2 linked regions of the Macaca mulatta genome follow. The protein of the gene in region 2 purifies or fractionates together with the protein of the main gene of each other region. This does not show direct contact. Links are inferred from orthologs where the notes say so. Each region holds a gene or a part of one and is shown on either strand. Other genes may lie near its edges. The genes, in order: GDI1 and RAB13.

Region 1 (9,569 bases), on a different chromosome or scaffold from region 2:
CAGGCCTCACAACGGGCCATGCCCTTCCTGGTCCCTAAGCCCAGCTCCTGGGCTCCCTCCCTCTCCCTCTCGGGCTCGGCCCAGCCCCTCACTTCTGGTCAATGGGCTCCAACAGCTCCAGAGCCGGCTCCACCTCCTTTTCAGGGTCCGTGGTCTCCACAGTAGTGCTGGCGATGGCGATGTATTTGCCCTGGGCCGCCACGTTGTGTGCATAGGAGATCATGCACACGTAGATGTCTGGCCACAGGAAGAGCTCCGTCAACTCGGGCCAGAGGCGCTGGCCATACGCAGAGATGGGTTCCAGTGGCTGGACACAAGTCTGGCCCACCTGCCCCCTCCCCAGCCCCGCAAAGCAGGTAGCATCCAAGCCGCCACCCTCCCAGAGGGGAAGAGTCCAGGCCACCCAAACCCTAGGGGTCCAAGTTGTGGTGACTACAACGTGGGTCAAATTTTTTCCAGAGAGGTAAGGCAGGGAGCTCCGACACTGATGGGGAGAGAAAGGGTAACCCCAAAGAGAACACCCTAGAGGAAGTTGTACCAGCACCCGGCCTACCTGACTTCCTGTTGACCTGGTTCTGGGGGATGATTATTTGGCAGGAGTTGGCATCGTTGGTGTTCTTGATGGGGTGGCTAAGGATACAGATAATGCGGATAACCTGGCCAGCCTTCCGCACACGGTCCGGGATGTAGCTGGGGTCACAGATCAGCTGCTTGCAGCGGGCCACCTGAGAAGGCACCAGAAATCCTCGCCCGTCAGATCACTCCCTTAGGTAGTCTTGGGGCTGTGTTCACAGCAAAGGCAGGCAGCTCTGGCAGACAAGGCACTCCTCGGAGCCATCACTACTGCCCCTCCTGAATGCATGGCCCTGCCCTGCAGCTCACAGAGGTGGGCCCTGACCCATAGGCTGGGTGCCCGCCCCCGCCTCCCAGATGCCCCGTGATCAAGTACACTTTCTGCACTACAGACATGGCGTGTGGCCTCTGAAATAGCCCCTCACCCACATTCATGGCTCTGAAGACTTCTGAACGCCCAGTTCCCAGCTCCAAGACCCTCGGGGCTGTGCAGCAGGAGACCCGGCAGCACAGTGAAAAGAAGATGACCAAGCCCTGCCTCAACCATGGTGACTGCACTGCACCAGAAAGGCTCACCTCTCCCTCAGATTTCACGCCCACCACCTTGCCATTCTCCATGATGATGTCATCCACAGGTTTGTTCAGCATATACGTCCCCCCATAGATGGCACTCAATCTGTGGTGAGAACAGCCCTGGTGAAGGCCCCTCCCAGGAGAAACGGGGACCAATTCCACTGTCACCCTTCCTCCACCAAGGTGCAAAAAAGGCAGCAGGCAGGAGACGCCGGGATTCATCCCAGCTGTGTCACTGCCGTGAACTCTGGCCCCATCTCAGCGGGCTCTTTCCTCTCAGGAGCTTCTTCTGCCCAGAATACACTGCCAAGGACCAGCAGAAGGGGGCATGAGGGAGCAGTGCTCTGCACCAAGACAGCCTGAAGGACCAGGATGGACTCTCTCAAGATAGGTCACCTCCCAGCGAAGCCCTGACTCAAGGTTCTGGGGCCCTGGGCCCAGTCCTGGTGCTGCCGGGAACTGAGCAAGTCACATTTGTGGAAACTTGGTTCTTCAAGTGTGGAGACTTCTTTTTTTTTTTTTTTTTTTGAGACGGAGTCTCGCTCTGTCGCCCAGGCTGGAGTGCAGTGGCGCGATCTCGGCTCACTGCAAGCTCCGCCTCCCGGGTTCACGCCATTCTCCTGCCTCAGCCTCCCGAGTAGCTGGGACTACAGGCACCCACAACCGCGCCCGGCTAATTTTTTGTATTTTTAGTAGAGACGGGGTTTCACCGTGGTCTCGATCTCCTGACCTTGTGATCCGCCCGCCTCGGCCTCCCAAAGTGCTGGGATTACAGGCGTGAGCCACCGCGCCCGGCAAGTGTGGAGACTTCTGTACTTCAGTGCACTGGGGTTGTGCCCTCATCACCCAAGGATGGAGTGAAGTAAATGAAAATCACGAATTGGAAAGGAGGAAATGCTACCAGGGAAATGCTCAAGGGGGCCATCTCCACTCCTGGCCCTAGTCCTACTCAGCCATGCCAACTGAAAAAACCCACGTCCTCACCTTGCAAAACCCTGGGGCAGCTCGCCCAGGCCGTAGAGCGGGTATAAATATGGGCTCTTGCCATACCGGGCCAGGGACTCACTGTACAACTTGATGCGGTTGATGGTCTCAAGACAGGGCTGGTCCAGGTAGCTGGGGGACAGGGGTTAGGGAAGACGCTCCAGTAGCAGCACCCCTGACTTACCCCCACCCAGGTACCAGGTACCAGGCCAGTCTTCCCACCACCCTGAATGGCCTGGGGAAGATGAGGATCAAATGCAAGGGGGAAATGGAAAGGGTGATAGGTGAGCCTATGGCTGAGTACAAGGAACATGCAGGGCAGGGGGACAACAGGCAGGTGTGGGGAGGGCAGGAGGTGGGCCGGGCGAGGGGGCTGCCGCCACACCAGCTTCCCCTCACTCATCAGTGCGGTAGAGTGCCAGGGCGTGGCCAGTGAAATCGATGACATCCTGGCCCAGATCAAACTTCCGGTAGACATCACGCATGCTGGTAGTCTGGGGGTCAACACCCTCAAAGGTCTTGGGGTCATTCTCATCGAAGTTTGCCACAAACACCAGGAACTTGCGGAAGCGCCGTTTCTCAAACATACCCATCAGATCTAAGGAAGGTGGCGGGAGGAGGTTCTGCACCAACGCAGCACAAAACTCTCCATCTCAGCAGGGCAGGCACCCCCACTCCCAGCCCAGCTGTCCTGTGACCTTAGGTTAACCTCTCCACCCTTTTTAGCCTCAGTTTCCCCACCAGGATGAAGAGGGGATTGGCCTGGATGGACTCTAAGGGCTTTCCTGGCTTGGACACTTGGGGATGTCTTGAGGATCCAGTGGAGCCCCTGCCAAAGGCTCAAGTTTTCTTTGTTGTTGTTGTTTTTTGAGATGGAGTCTTACTCTATCGCCCAGGCTGGAGTGCAGTGGTATGATCTCGGCTCACCACAACCTCCACCTCCCGGGTTCAAACCATTCTCTTGCCTCAGCCTCCCGAGTAGCTGGGATTACAGGTGTGTGCCACCACACTCAGCTAATTTTTTGTATTTTGAGACGAGACGGGGTTTCACCATGTTGGCCAGGCTGGTCTTGAACTCCTAACCTCGTGATCCACCCGCCTAGGCCTCTCAAAGTGCTGGGATTACAGGCATGAGCCACCGCGCCTGGCCACGCTCAAGTCTTTCAAAAGGAGTCCCGTTCCCCTCCACGTCACATCCCTGCTGCGTGGGGACCTCCCTCTTGGCAGCCAGCCATGCGGCATGACATGGGGCAGAGGGAATACAGAGTGAAGGGCCTCTGGTCCCCTTCATGGGGGAATGTGACTTTGGACAAAGGGGTACCTTACTCTGGACAGCCACCCATCCCAAAGACAGTTGGCTTCCCTGCCACCCCATGATTTCTCTGGCTCAGGGGGCCCACACTCACTGGAAGCCAAGGCCTCAGTCTCAGTGGACGGCACTTTGTAGATCTTGCCCCCCTTGTAGACAAAGCTGCCCTCCACCACCTTGAAGTCCAGGTAGCGAGTCACTTCTGTATACAGTAGCATCTTTACCAGCTGCCCTGTGGGGGTGCACAAGGGCAACATCAGCACGGCTCTCTCCAGAGGTTCTAGCTGGTCTGGCTGCGCCTCCTTTGGAGCCTGACTGTCCTTAGGTCTTCCCTATCACCCCCGACCTGCAATACCTCCTTCCTGTCCCTCACCGTTAGCCATGAGGAATTTGGGAATCAGGTCAACGTTCCAGTCTCGGCCTCGGCCCATGGACTCAGGGGGCCCCTCCAGCAACTGAAAACGCTTATACAGCTGTAAGCAGAAGGGAGAGAGAGACACCTCAGGGACCACCTCCTCCTGCTCCAGGCACCTGGAGAGCTACTTCCACCCTGTGCCGCTGTGTGGGAGGTTAACAGGGATGGGCCTGGGCCCAGGCAGCCTCACCTCCTCCAGGGGTGTGATGGAGGAGCTCTCGCCCCCGTAGTAGGGGTTCCGGTCCATGTGCAGCACCTTCTTCCCGTTCACAGACATGATGCCCGACAAGATGCATTCCTGGGGGAGGGCCACACAATCCGCTGCACTCCCACCTTCCTCTGCTCCTACCAGCAGCCCTGATTTGTTCCCCACCCAAACCTGCCTCAGTGGACAGCTCCTTCCATCCACCACCCCCACCGGCTAGTTGCCTCGCCTAAAATTGGGGTGATGGTTTCATCCGACCACACTCTCCATTGCAACCTTGCGGGGTAAAGGAGACCCGTCCCCCTCACAAGGCAGACAGTGAAATAACGGAGGCTTTGAGGTAGGCAGGGCATCCAGCAGACACAGGATGGCCTTCCAGTACCAACACGCCGAGAGGCATCTACCTACGCAGAGCCGCACAAAAAGGCGGATAAAACACAATGTGGCACAGAGGGGACCCAGCTGGACTGCGAAGGACACTCCAAAGGGAAGCAAAGAAAGGCTTAGCACAGTCCTTGAAATTGTAGGCCCCACCCTGGACTGCTCTTTCTTCAAAGAGCAGGAGCCCCTGCCGCTGAGGAGGGGCATCTGGGTCTGGACCGAGGGAGAAGAGTCTCTGAGGGGAGTGGGCCAACGGGATTTTCGGGGAAAGGGGGAAGATAAACACCCTCACCAGTCACTGTCACTAGCCCAAGGACAAAGGCTGCAGATGCTACTCAGCCTGAGGTCTCCATGGGCAACCGAGGTGGGGTTGCGGGAATGTGCTTACTGCCCCCACTGCTGCTCCTTCTGGAACATTCCCTGGATCCCCTGGCCCCAGAAGACGACGAGGGGGTGGGCTGAGAGCCCACCCTGGCGAGGCCCCCTGACCCCAGGTCCTTGTACTTCATCCTCACAGGGATTAGCGCAAGATGGGAAGGGACGCTGGGAGGCAACGCTAGGCGGGCGATGGGTGCGGGCGACGGGTGGATGCCGTGATGGGTGGGGGCGATGGGTGGGCGGGGTGGGGGCGATGGGTGGGCGGGGTGGGGGCGATGGGTGGGCGGGGTCGGGGGCAACGGGCCGAGTGGGGGTGCGTTTTCCGGTCCAGAGGGCAGGGGTAGGGAAGATGGGAGAGCGCCGGGGGTCGGACCCGGGTAGGCCAGGGGGCGGCCAGGAAGGGGGCCCCTTCGGGGAGATGGGGTCATGGCAACGAACAGAGGCGACATCGCGGGGGGAGCAGCGGGGTGGGCACGGCGCCGGCTTTTCGGGGAGCCGAGCGCAGAAGATGGCAGTGACCGGAGGATGGGCCGGCGGCCGCATCATCGCGGGGAATGGCGAGGGCACGACGCAGGGCCAAGGGCGCCCGGGGCCGCACTTACGGTGAGGCCGGTCCCCAGCACGATTACATCGTATTCCTCGTCCATGGTCAGGCCTCAGTGGCAGCGCCCGCTCGGCTCCTCCTCCTCCTTCACCACAGCAGTAGCCACCGCCGCCGCCGCCACCGCACTGGACCAAAGATGGCGGAGCGTCGGCCGCCGCCCGACCCCTCCGCCGCGTCAAAGAGTCCCGCCTCTTCCCGCGCCCCGCCGCACCCGGCAGGGGACACCGCCTTCCCGGCTCGCCTCCCGGGAGGGCTGCCAGGGCCCGGGCCACAGCACCAGCGCGGCTCCGCGGGCGACGTTGCTCGCCGAGAGTCCAGAGAGGCTCGGGGCGGGGCGGGCGGGGCGGGCGGGGCGGGCCGGCGGCCGGTGCTGCGGCCCGGAAAGGATCCATGCGCGGGAGCCGCGCGCGCCCCGCCCCACCCGCCCCGCCCCGCCCCGCGCGCGCCCGCCCCGCCCCCCGGGAGTCTCGGCGCGGCCCCGCGACCGGACGCGCGCCGCTGCGGCAGCCGGGGGCGGCTCCCTCACGACGCGAAGGCTGCCATTGTCACTACGGCCTCCTGAGACGCCGAAGCGCACCGGGACTCGGCCCGACCACCCCTCCCTGACCTAAGCGGTTAGGGCCCAGCTTACTAAAGCCCCTCCCGGTCTCCGGGGATGCCTCCTAGCCTCCCCCTCTCCAGGCTCCATCCTCCCGCATACCTCTGGCGAGCACGCGCCAAAAGCTCAGCGCAGAAATGAGCGACAAGAGGCCCAACGCATGGCGATCCTCGTTTACTTTATTAGGAAGGAAACAACCGAGCACCCCCTGCTCCTGCCAGGCACTTCCGGTGGGAACATGCCAGACAGCCGACGATCGCACCCAGCCCACCTTCCTTCTCAGGCCACAGAAATAAACCCCAGTGTACTGCTTATTGTTAGCACAACATCACCAGAAAACGATAACGACAGCCAAGCAGGACAGTTAAGTAGAACTTCCACACCCCAAACTCAGGGAGCCCTATAACCTTAAGGAGGGAGCATTTGCTACACAAAAACACTATCCACAGCCAGGGATGATGTAGACACAAGAATAAATAAGGAGAAAGGGGACCCTAGAATTCATGTCCCTTACGCCTCACAGCGACTAAGCCTGGGAAGCTGGTTGGTCTAGCATCTACGCAGAATATGTACACCTTGTTGGGAGAGATGGGGGCAGCCCAGGAAAGCTCCTCAGCAGGCTGAAGAGGGAGCAAGATGGGCTGAGGGGAGCTTGGGGTTCATGCTGCGGTAGGAAGAGGGAAGCTCCAGTCCAGTGTGCTGCAGGGTGGGAAAGCAACAACACGGACACTCTCCCACCCTCAACCCCCCACTGGCACAGGGTCAGACAATCTGGGTCAAAGAAATGGTGGGGCCCTTGTGATCATCAAAGCGATCCATGGTCTTGAGACTGAGGATCATGTGCAGGCCGTAGGTGAAGATGAAGAGCATGAACAGGGAGGTCAGCAGCCCCATCCAGATGCCGGGGGAGAAGAAGCTGGCACAGTCACTGGCATAGGAGAACTGCTCCCCCATCACGTTGAAAGCCTGGATCTGGCAGACACACAGACACGGGTCAGAAAGGACCGTTGGGAGGCCCAGCAAGGACTGGGACAAGGGCAGCGCAGGGACAGGACTCCCAAGCCCAAGCCTCTCTTCGTTTCTCAAACACCAGCCTGGGCTCCCCCACCTGAAGCTGGGCCACCCCTGCGCCATACCTGGAAGTCCTGAAGCATCATCTGCCAGGGGGAGGGCTGCGTGCGGGCCACGAGGAGACTGCCCTTCTTGCTCAGGCTGCTGACATACTCGCAGTGGAAGGAGTAGATGCTGGGCCCTGTGACCTGGGAAGCATTGAAGTAGGCAACGGAGCCATTGCTGTGGACTTCGAGGCGCTCCATGGTAAACCAGTGCCGGGCGGACACTGGGTAGAGGCGGTTGGCCAGAATGAACCTGGGGAAGGTGGCAGGGATGTCAGGTGAGCTGGGGAGGCTGGGGCCACACCAGCCTCCCCACACCTCAACCACCCCAGGACTCACTTGAATGTCACTGTGGTACCAAAGAGTCGTTCATAGGTCAGTGAGAGCCTGTGGAGGCAGAGAAAGAGGTGCACCATGAGGCTCTGGGAGGGCCTTTGGCATCTTAGAGGAACAAGTTCCTCAGCTCTGCTCTTACCTAAGCTGCCTTGGGTCCTTGCAGCCACCTGAAGAAGCAGTGACCCCACTTGACAGATAGGAAAACTGAGGATCCAGTCACATTGCAAGCCCAGAACAGAGCTGGAAGCCAGGACCCAGGTTCCCCTTGCCACCAGCATGGGGGTCCTTCCTCTGGTTCCCCTGAGCTCACTACCTCTCCTTTTACTCCCTCTTAGGGTCACTAAGGTGCCTGGGCTGGGCTTTGGGGGTGAGAGCAAACAGAAGGGCATGGTTGCCCCATAAATGCCTCAGGTAGCTGGCCTGGCATTTGCCCACACAAAGTCCCAGAAGTTTTGCTCAAGGGGGAGGTGTTAACAACCAAGGTCCCAACCAAAGACTCACAAGCATGGGGAGGCAGAAGTCTGAGCAACTCCCCTCCAACAGCACCCCCCGCCATGACACCTCCTACATCCTCACACTGCCCAGACCCCAACCAGACCATGGCCATCCCCACCCCAACACACAGACCTGACCCTGGCTCCCTGCCCCACCTGCGACTCACAGTGGTGGGAAGGTCACCTGTGGTGGCACAGTCCTCCCCAGCCTAGTGCCCTTGCCTGGCAAAGGAGTCATTCCAGAAGGAGCCAGTCAGGTTGAGCTCCTGCACCCCAAAGGTGAGGGGAGTCAGGTCCTCCCACTGGTCCTTGTACGCCACAGAGAAGTTTTGGGCCCAGAACAGGATCCGGGGAGCAGTGTCATTGTAACTCACAGGAGGATGGATCACAGGTGATATTGGCTGTTTTTGTAACAGCTGGCGACCTAGCCCTTCAGCCACCACCGCTACATCACGGGCCACCTGCAGAAACACCCAACCAGCCTTCTTTCAGCAGCCCTGGGAGACTGTCATACTCCAACCCAGCTGTCGTGCCCTCCCTCCTCTCCCGACAGGACACCCTGTCCACTATCTCAAAGTCCCACCAGCCAGAGGAGGCCTTTCCTCCAGAAAGCTTTCCCTGATGGCCCCTAAACCCTGATGACGTTCCTAGTCCCTCAAACTTAGGGTCATTTAGACTTAGTGTCCAAGTCTGCCACCCACAAGCCTCAGAGGACGAGATGGAAAGCTGCCCCTGGAATGGGGAGGCAGCACTTGAGTGCTCATCCTAGTCCTCCCCCAGAGTCAGCCCAGGGACAAGCCACTCCAAATAGTCACACCACAGGGGTTCTGTGCCTGATGCTTCCGCTATGCTGGGCCTCCCGGACAGCCTGCCTGTGGCATACACCCCCCACCTCCAGACAGACTCACCACACTGCCTCTCCCTGCATGCCCCAGAGCCCCTGCTGGAAGGGCACATACCCTGGAAGGGCGGACCGCTGTGAGGGCCGCTGTGTACGGGACATCTTCAGACTTGAGTGTGCTCAGGACCTGCCCAATGACCTCATCTGAGGGTCAACAAGGAGAGCAGAGAGTCAAGTCACCAGGCACCCTGTGTAAAGAAACACTCCCCACCGTCTGCTTTAGAAACCTTCTAGACCATCTGAAAGTGGTGTTATTACTTTCCACTGAGGATCCTTAGGAGCAGCTATTTCTCATCCCACCCCCATTCCTAGCCTCCCCCGTGGACAACTGTGGCTTTGGTCATCAACTTCCTAATGCCAAGCCCTACCTATGTGACACGAGAAAATACATATCAATACAGAAAACTCCACATCCACCCATGAAAGGTTTGTGACTGCCTTTCCATGGGGAATGACTGTTCTTTATTGCAAATAGGTAAGTCCCCAGAATTGTTTTTCCAAATGTCTGCAGTCTTATTAAACCCATAACTCTAGGATTCACGCTGCATGCACAGAAACTGGCTCCATAGCCTCCAGCACAGAGGGCCCCCCCTCTGCCAAGTGGGGTCTGGCTGGACAGGGTCCTCTGCTAGGTGGTCCCTGGCTGGTCCTGGGAGCCAGCATTTCCCTGCTCCACTGTCAGCTGCCCCGAGAAGCAGGAGGG
Region 2 (9,569 bases):
AGGCTGCAGTGACCTAGGATAGTGCCACTGTATTCCAGTGTGGGTGACAGAATGACCCTGTCTCTAAAAAACATAAAAATAGACCAGACACAGTGGCTCACGCCTCTAATCCCAGCACTTTGGGAGGCCGAGGTGGGTGGATCCTTTGAGGTCAGAGTTCGAGACCAGCCTGACCAGCATTATGAAACCCCATCTCTACTAAAAATACAAAAAAATTAGCCAGGTGTGGTGTTGGGTACGTGTGATCCCAGCTACTCTGGAGGCTGAGGCAGGAGAATCACCTGAACCTGAGAGAAGTTGCAGTGAGCCAAGATCCTGCCATTGTACTCCAGCCTGGGTGACAGAGCAAGACTCGATCTAAAATTAAATAAATAAATAAATAAACAAACAAACAAACAGGTGAGACATGGTTTGGTCAGTGAAAAGAAATAGGGAAGACTCAAGGAGATAATGAGAGGTGAGAGAATAGACAAAAGGAGATTGAATAGTTTAGCTTGAGAAGGGACAAGCATGGACACGGAAGGTGATGGGGATAAGTGAAATGACAAAAGATGCCTTCTTAACAACCAGTACACATTTTCTTTTTTTGAGACGGAGTCTCGCTCTGTCACCCAGGCTGGAGTGCGGTGGCCGGATCTCAGCTCACTGCAAGCTCCGCCTCCCGGGTTCACGCCATTCTCCGGCCTCAGCCTCCCAAGTAGCTGGGACTACAGGCGCCGGCCACCTCGCCCGGCTAGTTTTTTGTATTTAATAGAGACAGGGTTTCACTGTGTTTGCCAGGATGGTCTCGATCTCCTGACCTCGTGATCCACCCGTCTCGGTCTCCCAAAGTGCTGGGATCACAGGCTTGAGCCACCGCGCCCGGCCCTCATTTTTTTTTTTTCTAGACGCAGTTTTGCTCTTGTTGCCCAGGCTGTAGTGCAATGGTGCCATCTCTGCTCGCCGCAACCTCCGCCTCCCGCGTTCAAGCAATTCTCCCGCCTCAGCCTCCCGAGTAGCTGGGATTACAGGCAGGCGGCACCACGCCCGGCTAATTTTGTATTTTTAGTAGAGACGGGGGTTTCACCATGTTGGCCAAGCTGATATTGAACTCCCGACCTCACGTGATCCGCCCACCTCAGCCTCCCAAAGTGCTGGAATTACAGGTGTGAGCCACCACACCCAGCCTTTAATTTTTTTATAGGCAGCCAGAATAGGCTCGAGAGAGACTCCCTTGAATAATTTTTTATTTGCCGGTTGCGGTGGCTCATGCCTGTAATCCCAGCACTTTGGGAGGCTGAGGCGGGCGGATCATGTGAGGTCGGGAGTTCGAGACCAGCCTGGCCAACATGGTGAAACCCCGTCTCTACTAAAAATACAAAAAAAAATTTTAGCTAGGTGTGGTGGCGGGTGGCTGTAATCCCAGCTACTTGGGAAGCTGAGGCTGGAGAATCGCTTGAACCCAAGAGGCGGAGGTTGCAGTGACCAGAGATTGAGCCATTGCACTTCAGCCTGGGTGACAAGAGCAAAACTTTGTCTCAAAAAATAAAATAAAAATAAAAATAAAGGCTGGGCACAGTGGCTCAAGCCTGTAATCCCAGGCCTTTGGGAGGCAGAGGTGGATGGATCACCTGAGGTCGAGAGTTCAAGACCAGCCTGACCAACATGGAGAAACCCCGTCTCTACTAAAAATACAAAATTAGCTGGGGGTGGTGGCGGATGCCTGTAATTTCAGCTACTCGCGAGGCTTAGGCAGGAGAATCGCTTGAATCTGGGAGCCGAAAGTTGCGGTTAGCCAAGATCACACCATTGCACTCCAGCCTGGGCAACGAGAGCAAAACTCCACCTCAAAATAAATTAAAAAAAAAAAAAAAAATAGGCCGGGCGCGGTGGCTCACGCCTGTAATTCCAGTACTTTGGAAGGCCAAGGCAGACGGATCACGAGGTCAGGAGATCGAGACCATCCTGGTTAACATGGTGAAACCCTGTCTCTACCTAAAATACAAAAATTTAGCCAGGCGGTGGCAGGCGCCTGTAGTCCTAGCTACTCAGGAGACTGAGGCAGGCGAATGCCGTGAACCCGGGAGGTGGAGCTTGCAGTGAACCAAGATTGCGCCACTGCACTCCAGCCTGGGCAACAGAGCGAGACTCCGTCTCAAAAAAAAAATAGGGCTGGGCGCGGTGGCTTATGCCTGTAATCCCAGCACTTTGGGAGGCCGAGGCGGGCGGATCACAAGGTCAAGAGATCGAGACCATCTGGCCAACATGGTGAAACCCCGTCTCTACTAAAAATACAAAAATTAGCTGGACTTCGTGGCAGGCACCTGTAATCCCAGCTATTCCAGAGGCTGAGGCACGAGAATCGCTTGAACCAGGGAGGCAGAGGTTGCAGTGAGCCGAGATCGTCCCACTGCACTCCAGCCTGGCGACAGAGCAAGGCTGTGTCTCAAAAAATTAATTAATTAAAAATAAACAAATTTAAAAATTTTTTTGAGACAGGATCTTACTCTGTCACCGAGTCTGGAGTGCAGTAGCATAATCATGGCTCACTACAGCCTTGGACTCCTGGGCTCAAGTGATCTGCCCACTTCTGCCCCCTAGGTAGCTGGGGCTGGGACTACAGGCGCACACCACCATGTATGGCTTATTTATTTATTTATTTATTTATTTATTTATTGTCGAAGCAGAGTCTCAGTATGTTGCCCAGGCTAGTCTTGAACTCCTGGACCCAAGGGATCCTCTCACGTTGGCCTCCCAAAGTGCTGGGATTACAAGTGTGAGCCACCACACCGGGTCTTAAACAATTTCTTTCTTTCGTTTTTCGTATTTTTTTCCACCCCCAGCACACATATAGCAAGAATAATTTTTTTCTAAAGGCAGAGATATACTTGTTTCTTTGTAGCCATGCTGTCCATATTTCAGCTTCCTGGTTACCAAGGCTACACGTTCATGGCCTATTGAGTGAGATTTCAGGAGTACTGCACCTTAAGTGGGCCATATTAAAAGATCCACGTGAAGAATGACATTTTTAGTTCAAATCACTGTTTTCTTAAGCTATTTGGTCAGAGAAATCACACATGCGGCCCCCATTAGAGAGGTCGTTCCAACTGAAGCACCAGGACGTGTCTAGGTAGGCTGTGAGTCTTGGGGCGGTGGGGCCGATTCTGTAAAACTAATTTACGTTTTCACCCTGTTCCACCAGAGGGCAGACTGACTCAACAAATAACCTACTTCTGCGCATCCCGCTTTTTTCAAAGGGAATTGGGATCCATAGAACTAAGGGCTTGGACAACTAACGCTAAAATTCTAGGACTGACTTTTACGCAGCCCCAGAAACCGATGATAACTCATCTTCTAGCTTCGTTGAATAGCACCTCCAAAAATCAGCCCCATTTTTTTTTTTTCAATTTCTAGTGCCCTCCCTACCTTCACCGTTATTCCCAAAACTCTTTCTCTCTTCCCCTAATCCCTCTAAAATTTCTCTTCCCCTGGTCGTCGTGGTTAAACCTCTACTTCCCTTCACCCCAGACTCTCGCCTCAGAATAGAAGAGTAAGGTCGTAAGAGGGGAGCTACAGTTACCAAAAGGCTGTGGAAAATAGCGAGACAGGTAGGCCGGCCTAAGCTGGGAAGGGAAAACCGAGAGAGCAGAGGCCGGGCTGGCCGCCTTGGCCTGTCCAAAAGGGTGGGCGGGCAGGGGGTGGAGCCCGGAGGGGTGCCGCCCCTCCTTTTCCCGGAGCCTGGGCGGAGAGGGAGGAAAACTTCTTCCTGGCCTGGGCTCCGTGCTGCTCTGTTTGCCAACCGTCCAGTCCCGCCTACCAGTGCCGGGAGCTCCCCACCCCTCCCCCGGCTCCCCCGGTGTCCGCCATGGCCAAAGCCTACGACCACCTCTTCAAGTTGCTGCTGATCGGGGACTCGGGGGTGGGCAAGACTTGTCTGATCATTCGCTTTGCAGAGGACAACTTCAACAACACTTACATCTCCACCATTGGTGAGCCCGCTGGCCATGTCCCAGACCCCTACTGTCTTGTAACCTCCTTCTCAGGCTCCCGGATTACTAGTGACCCCAATTTTCAGTCCCCTTAGAGTAAGGCTCCTGAATTCTAGTCCCTCAACCCCTGGCTCTGACCCCTCCCCCATGCATGTCTCTGTATGGTAACCAAACCTCTCACCTCTCTGAGGCTTTCAGGTAACTCTTCAACTGCTGCCAGCTCCTCATTTTCTTGGTGCCATCACCTTAGTTTCCCAAAACCCACAAGAACTCTTCTCTCTTTGTCTCTGTGCCCCTCTTCCCCTACCCCCACCACTTAGAACTCTCTCGATCCATTCTCCACGTTTCCTGTATCCCTGTCTGCCACATCTTTTTCTCCCAATCCGATCTGTTAGCCTCTTTCCCTCTAGCCGACCTTCAAACTCTCCCACTGCGTCCCCAGCTCACCATCTACTTCCCAGGTTCCCTGCCCCAGTCTCCCTGCACCTCAGCTGAACAGGGGTTTGGGAAGGGTGGAACAAGGTGGCTGGGTGTGCTGGAGGGCGGCCCAAGGACTGTGATCATGAATATGCAGCCAGCTTGGTGAGGAACGTGGAAATGAGGGGACTTTTGGGGTCTCTGAGTCAGCCTGGTGACTCATCCTCCTCCCAGGGGCCCCCAGCAGGCTTGGGGGAGGTGCCCAAGTTTCTACTAAGAAGAACATTGTCTCCCCTCCTCCCTTCTTTCTTCATTTCCTCTGGCTTGGGAAATAGACAGGAAGAGTCTTATGACAATTCTGGTTACAAAGGAAGAGGAAAAATGCCCCCCTTTCCTAATTGTCTCAAAAGTAATCCTGTTTAGCCTCAGACTTTCCTAGTGCCAAGTTTGGCCTACTAGTTAATTCACATAGACTGGCTTCAGCTACTTTTTTCCTTACTCTCTACTAGGAGGGTGGGTGGAATACCAAGAGTAGAGGGCTCTAAGAAAACAGAGAAGAGGAATGTGAAAGTAATATCTGGTGGGGAGACAGAGACTGAATTCAGAGAGTTGTCAGCTGGTATAGCTGAATGGACCCAAGAGGTGGCCTAAGGATCTTAAGCCTCCATGCAGAATTTTCATCACCTTTTCCCTCCCAAAATCCATAAAACGTAAGTAAAAATAGTATTCTTGCTATACAAATACAGCTTTGGGAAAATTCTCCTAGCTTGGCATTTCCAACAAGATTGCTCCCCAAGTGCCTCTCCTGCAGAATTTCTGGTGCTGACACTGCTCCCTTCCTGTCCCTCCCATCACACAGTTTTACATGTGTGCATGCATGTCTCAACTTCAGTGCATACTTTCCACCCCTAGGAATTGATTTCAAGATTCGCACTGTGGATATAGAGGGGAAGAAGATCAAACTACAAGTCTGGTAAGTGAATCCTCTGGGAAGCCTCACCAGACTTCATTTACCTCCTACACGCTTTTTCTTCTACTTTGTTTCATTTCTCTTCCTTTCCTCATTGCTCTTTCTAGCACTTCTAATCTATTTCTCTGGATGCACTCAGCTGTCCTTCGTCTCTCTTCCTGCTCTCCCAACTAGTTCCAGCTTTTTTGTAACTCTTGCCTCCTCTGGCTACAGAGCATCCTCTTAATTTGACAACAAACAACTGTTCAGTCATAACTTGGAAACAGGCTGTGAACCGTTAAATGGCACAGGCAGAATTAAGACTTGACTCTAAGTCTAGTGTTTTCTCCAAAATATGGTGAGCCCAGAGAGCCAAATGTAGACCCTGAAGGGGTTTAAGTGGTATGAAGCTTAGTGGAGGCATAATGCTATGACATATAAGAGCAGAGTGGTGCACAAATCCGGTTCTTTTACTTATCTGCTGCCTGACCTTCATGAATTATTCAGCCTATCCAAATCTGTTTCCTCTTTTTTTTTTGAGACAGAGTCTTGCTCTTATCGCCCAGGCTGGAGTGCAATGGCACAATCTCAGCTCACCGCAACCTCCGCCTCCTGGGTTCAAGTGATTCTCCCACCTCAGCCTCCCAAGTAGCTGGGATTACAGGTGCCCGCCACCATGCCCGGCTAATTTTTGTATTTTTAGTAGAGACGAGGTTTCGCCATGTTGGCCAGGCTGGTCTCGAACTCCTGACCTCAGATGATCGACCCGCCTCGGCTTCCCAAGGCGGAAGATTACAGGCGCGAGCCACGGCCCCCGGCATGTTTCCTTATTTGTAAAATAGGGACAATAATACATGTCTTACAAGGAGAGATTAAGGATTAGATAAAATGATACATACGCAGTGCTGGACACATAGCAAGCATTCAATGAATAAGCAAAGACAGCTTGTTTCTTGGGCCACTACCATCTCTGGAAATCAGGTCAACCGTCTTTAATCCCACTCCCCTTTACTGTTTCCTTATTCTGTTGCCCCACCATGTTGCAAAAGCTAAATTCTTGCGAGAGAGGAAGAATTCTTCCATTAGAGAATTCTTTCCTCTCTTCCATTCCATGAAACCTTCTCCTTCTTTAGGGACACGGCTGGCCAAGAGCGATTCAAGACAATAACTACTGCCTACTACCGTGGAGCCATGGTATGAAGTGTGGGTCTGGACAAAGGATGAAGGATGAGGCCACAGAATATATTATGAATACAAAGGGTCAGGGGTTGAGGCAGGTAAAAATGGGAGGGGTGTAGTGTGGGTTGCAGAGGGCCCAACGTGGCCTAGTGTTTAGACCCATGGATGGAACTTGCCGGGTCACTTACAGGGCAGTGGGAAGCCTCAAAGGGAATATGGTCCAAGTTGAATTTTGTCATCTCCCAGGGCATTATCCTAGTATACGACATCACGGATGAGAAATCTTTCGAGAATATTCAGAACTGGATGAAAAGCATCAAGGAGGTGAGGACCCTCCAGAAGAGATGGGGGAACTGGATAGAACCTGGAGAATGAAGGGAGCCATAAGGATAGGCATGACCTAACTTTTTTTTTTTTTTGAGACGAAGTTTCGCTCTTGTTGCCTGGGCTGGAGTGCAATGGCACCATCTTGGCTCACTGCAACCTGACTACCGGGTTCAAATGATTCTCCTGCCTCAGCCTCCTAAGTAGCTAGGATTACAGGCATGCACCACCATGCTCAGCTACTTTTGTATTTTTAGTAGAGATGGGGTTTTACCATGTTGATCAGGTTGGTCTTGAACTCCTGCATCAGGTGATCCACCCGCCTTGGCCTCCCAAAGTGCTGGGATTACAGGTGTGAGCCACCACACCCAGCTGGCGGGACCTAACTTTTACTTGTCTTTTGCCCCCCCAGAATGCCTCGGCTGGGGTGGAACGCCTCTTGCTAGGGAACAAATGTGACATGGAGGCCAAGAGGAAGGTGCAGAAGGAGCAGGCCGATAAGGTGAGGGCCAGGCTGAGCAATTTCTAGAACTGGGCTGGGAGGGCCAAGATAGGTTGCATTGCAGAGGACTTGGCTGCTGTCCTTAATTCAATTCTCTCCTTCTCACTTCACCCCTTATAGTTGGCTCGAGAGCACGGGATCCGATTTTTCGAAACTAGTGCTAAATCCAGTATGAATGTGGATGAGGTGAGATCCACACCCCCATCCCTGACCAAGAGAGGAAGTATTAAAAGGTAGATTCTCCTCCCTCCAAACTGATTCTATTCCCCACTTTAGGCTTTTAGCTCCCTGGCCCGGGACATCTTGCTCAAGTCAGGAGGCCGGAGATCAGTAAGTTGGTTTTGCTGGACTAGGTACAACTCTGGTGTGTGTGTGTTGGTGTTGATAAGAATTGAGGGGAGCAATGCTAAGATTTCTCATGAGGGTGGATTCACTTCCAACAGTTTATACCCTCACACCCTAACCAGCCATTCACACCATGACCCCTGTGCCCTTCTCCCTCTAGGGAAACGGCAACAAGCCTCCCAGTACTGACCTGAAAACTTGCGACAAGAAGAACACCAACAAGTGCTCCCTGGGCTGAGGACCCTTTCTCGCCTCCCCACCCTGGAAGCTGAACCTGAGGGAGACGGGGCAAAGGGACTGAGCAGGGGAGAAATAGCAGAGGGGCTTGGAGGGACACATAGGTAGATGGTAAAGAGAATGAGGAATAAAAGGAGAAGAGAAAAGGGAAAAGCAGAAAGGAAAAGAAGGAAGAGAGAGGAGGGAGAAGGGAGAGGAACCGATTGAGGAAGTGAAAGAAGGTAAGGAGGTAAGAAGAGGGAGGAGGAAAGGAAGGGGAGATGGCCTCAGGCTTCAGACCTTACCTGGGTTTTCAGGGCAAACATAAATGTAAATACACTGATTTATTCTGTTACTAGATCAGGTTTTAGGGTCCTGCAAAGGGCTAGCTCGGCACTACACTAGCAGATTTGCTCCTGTTCTGTCACTTTTCATGGTCTTTAATAAAGGCCACCATTTGCACAAATGTTCCTGTTTTGGGTAACTTGGATTATTGTCAGAATTGTTCTCCACTCAAATCCAATTACTGTGTCTTCAAAGTGATTGATCTGCCTGAATCAGGCTGGGTTTCTGTGGAACCTGGACTAATCCTACCGCTGTCTCTTCCCCGCTGTTCAGTTGGTAAGGAAAATAGCAAAGAGCAGGAGCTAGAGTGATCTGAAGGTCTGGATATCCTCTTTCCGCTATGGGGTCTGGATGCCCTTGTGGGCAGAGCCTTGTCCTGAGCACAGGAAATTCCAAGCGAGAAGGACTCTTAACAGTCCTAGCCTCAGGGAAATAACTGCACCTAGTGTTTTATCCAGTGATTTGTGCAAGCTTCTTTGATTCTGCCAGCAATCCATTTAGGTATTTGATAGGCATTAATATCTGCTTTTATTAGTGAGGAAAATGAGAAGTTCATTTATTCATAGATGTCTATTGAGTAATTTAAATATATATTGAGCGTCTACTAAGTGCCAGGCACTATGGCCAGTTATTTTATTTATTTATTCATTTATTTTTAGAGACAGAGTCTTGCTCTGTCTCCCAGGCTGGAGTGCAACAGTGTGATCTCGGCTCACTGCAACCTCTGCCTCCTGCCTTAGCCTCTCAAGTAGCTGGGATTACAGGCATGAGCCACCACGTCTGGCCACAATAGTCAGTTAATATAGCCCTTGGGTGGTACAAGGACATTTTTTTTTTTTTTTAAACCGAGTCTGGCTCTGTCGCCCAGGCTGGAGTGCAGTGGCATGATCCCAGCTCACTGCAGCCTCTGCCTCCTGGGTTCAAGTGATTCTTCTGACTCAGCCTCCCGAGTAGCTGGGACTACAGTCATGTACCACCACACCTGGCTAATTTTTGTGTTTTTAGTAGAGACAGGGTTTTGCCATGTTGGCCAGGCTGGTCTTGAACTCATGGGCTCAAGTGATTGTCCTGCCTCGGTCTCCCAAACTGCTGGGATTACAGGCGTGAGCCACTGCGCCCAGCCCGGGACAAGCAAATTTTAACAAAAACAGCTCTTTGGCTGGGCATGGTGGATCACGACAGGAGTTCAAAACCAGCCTGGCCAACATAGTGAAACCCTGTCTCTACTAAAAATAAAAAGAAATTAGAGGGTGCCTGTAGTCCCAGCTACTTGGGATGTTGAGGCAGGAGACCCGCTTAAACCTGGGAAGCGGAGGTTGCAGTG

The links.
Region 1: the proteins of RAB13 (region 2) and GDI1 purify together in Homo sapiens (affinity purification with mass spectrometry; 4 studies listed by BioGRID and IntAct, counting the BioPlex papers as one, with this or other methods). This does not show direct contact. The link is inferred for Macaca mulatta from reciprocal best matches to the Homo sapiens genes RAB13 and GDI1.

Annotation. Positions count from the first base shown.
Region 1 is NC_133426.1:160,616,599-160,626,167, reverse strand, and holds the start of GDI1 (rab GDP dissociation inhibitor alpha), read right to left. Parts: upstream 5,749-9,569; 5' UTR 5,466-5,748; coding exon 5,421-5,465; intron 4,153-5,420; coding exon 4,045-4,152; intron 3,913-4,044; coding exon 3,813-3,912; intron 3,672-3,812; coding exon 3,537-3,671; intron 2,729-3,536; coding exon 2,530-2,728; intron 2,263-2,529; coding exon 2,131-2,262; intron 1,250-2,130; coding exon 1,150-1,249; intron 726-1,149; coding exon 554-725; intron 238-553; coding exon 93-237; intron 1-92. Other genes in the region: ATP6AP1 (V-type proton ATPase subunit S1), read right to left, coding at 6,783-6,992, 7,157-7,388, 7,475-7,522, 8,188-8,447, 8,874-9,010. UniProt on the Homo sapiens protein: Regulates the GDP/GTP exchange reaction of most Rab proteins by inhibiting the dissociation of GDP from them, and the subsequent binding of GTP to them. Promotes the dissociation of GDP-bound Rab proteins from the membrane and inhibits their activation.
Region 2 is NC_133406.1:113,048,681-113,058,249, forward strand, and holds RAB13 (ras-related protein Rab-13), read left to right. Parts: upstream 1-3,744; 5' UTR 3,745-3,844; coding exon 3,845-3,968; exon of another isoform or gene 3,969-4,064; intron 4,065-4,686; exon of another isoform or gene 4,687-5,095; intron 5,096-5,297; coding exon 5,298-5,358; intron 5,359-6,467; coding exon 6,468-6,528; intron 6,529-6,759; coding exon 6,760-6,837; intron 6,838-7,249; coding exon 7,250-7,339; intron 7,340-7,459; coding exon 7,460-7,525; intron 7,526-7,615; coding exon 7,616-7,669; coding exon of another isoform or gene 7,670-7,673; intron 7,674-7,844; coding exon 7,845-7,922; 3' UTR 7,923-8,367; downstream 8,368-9,569.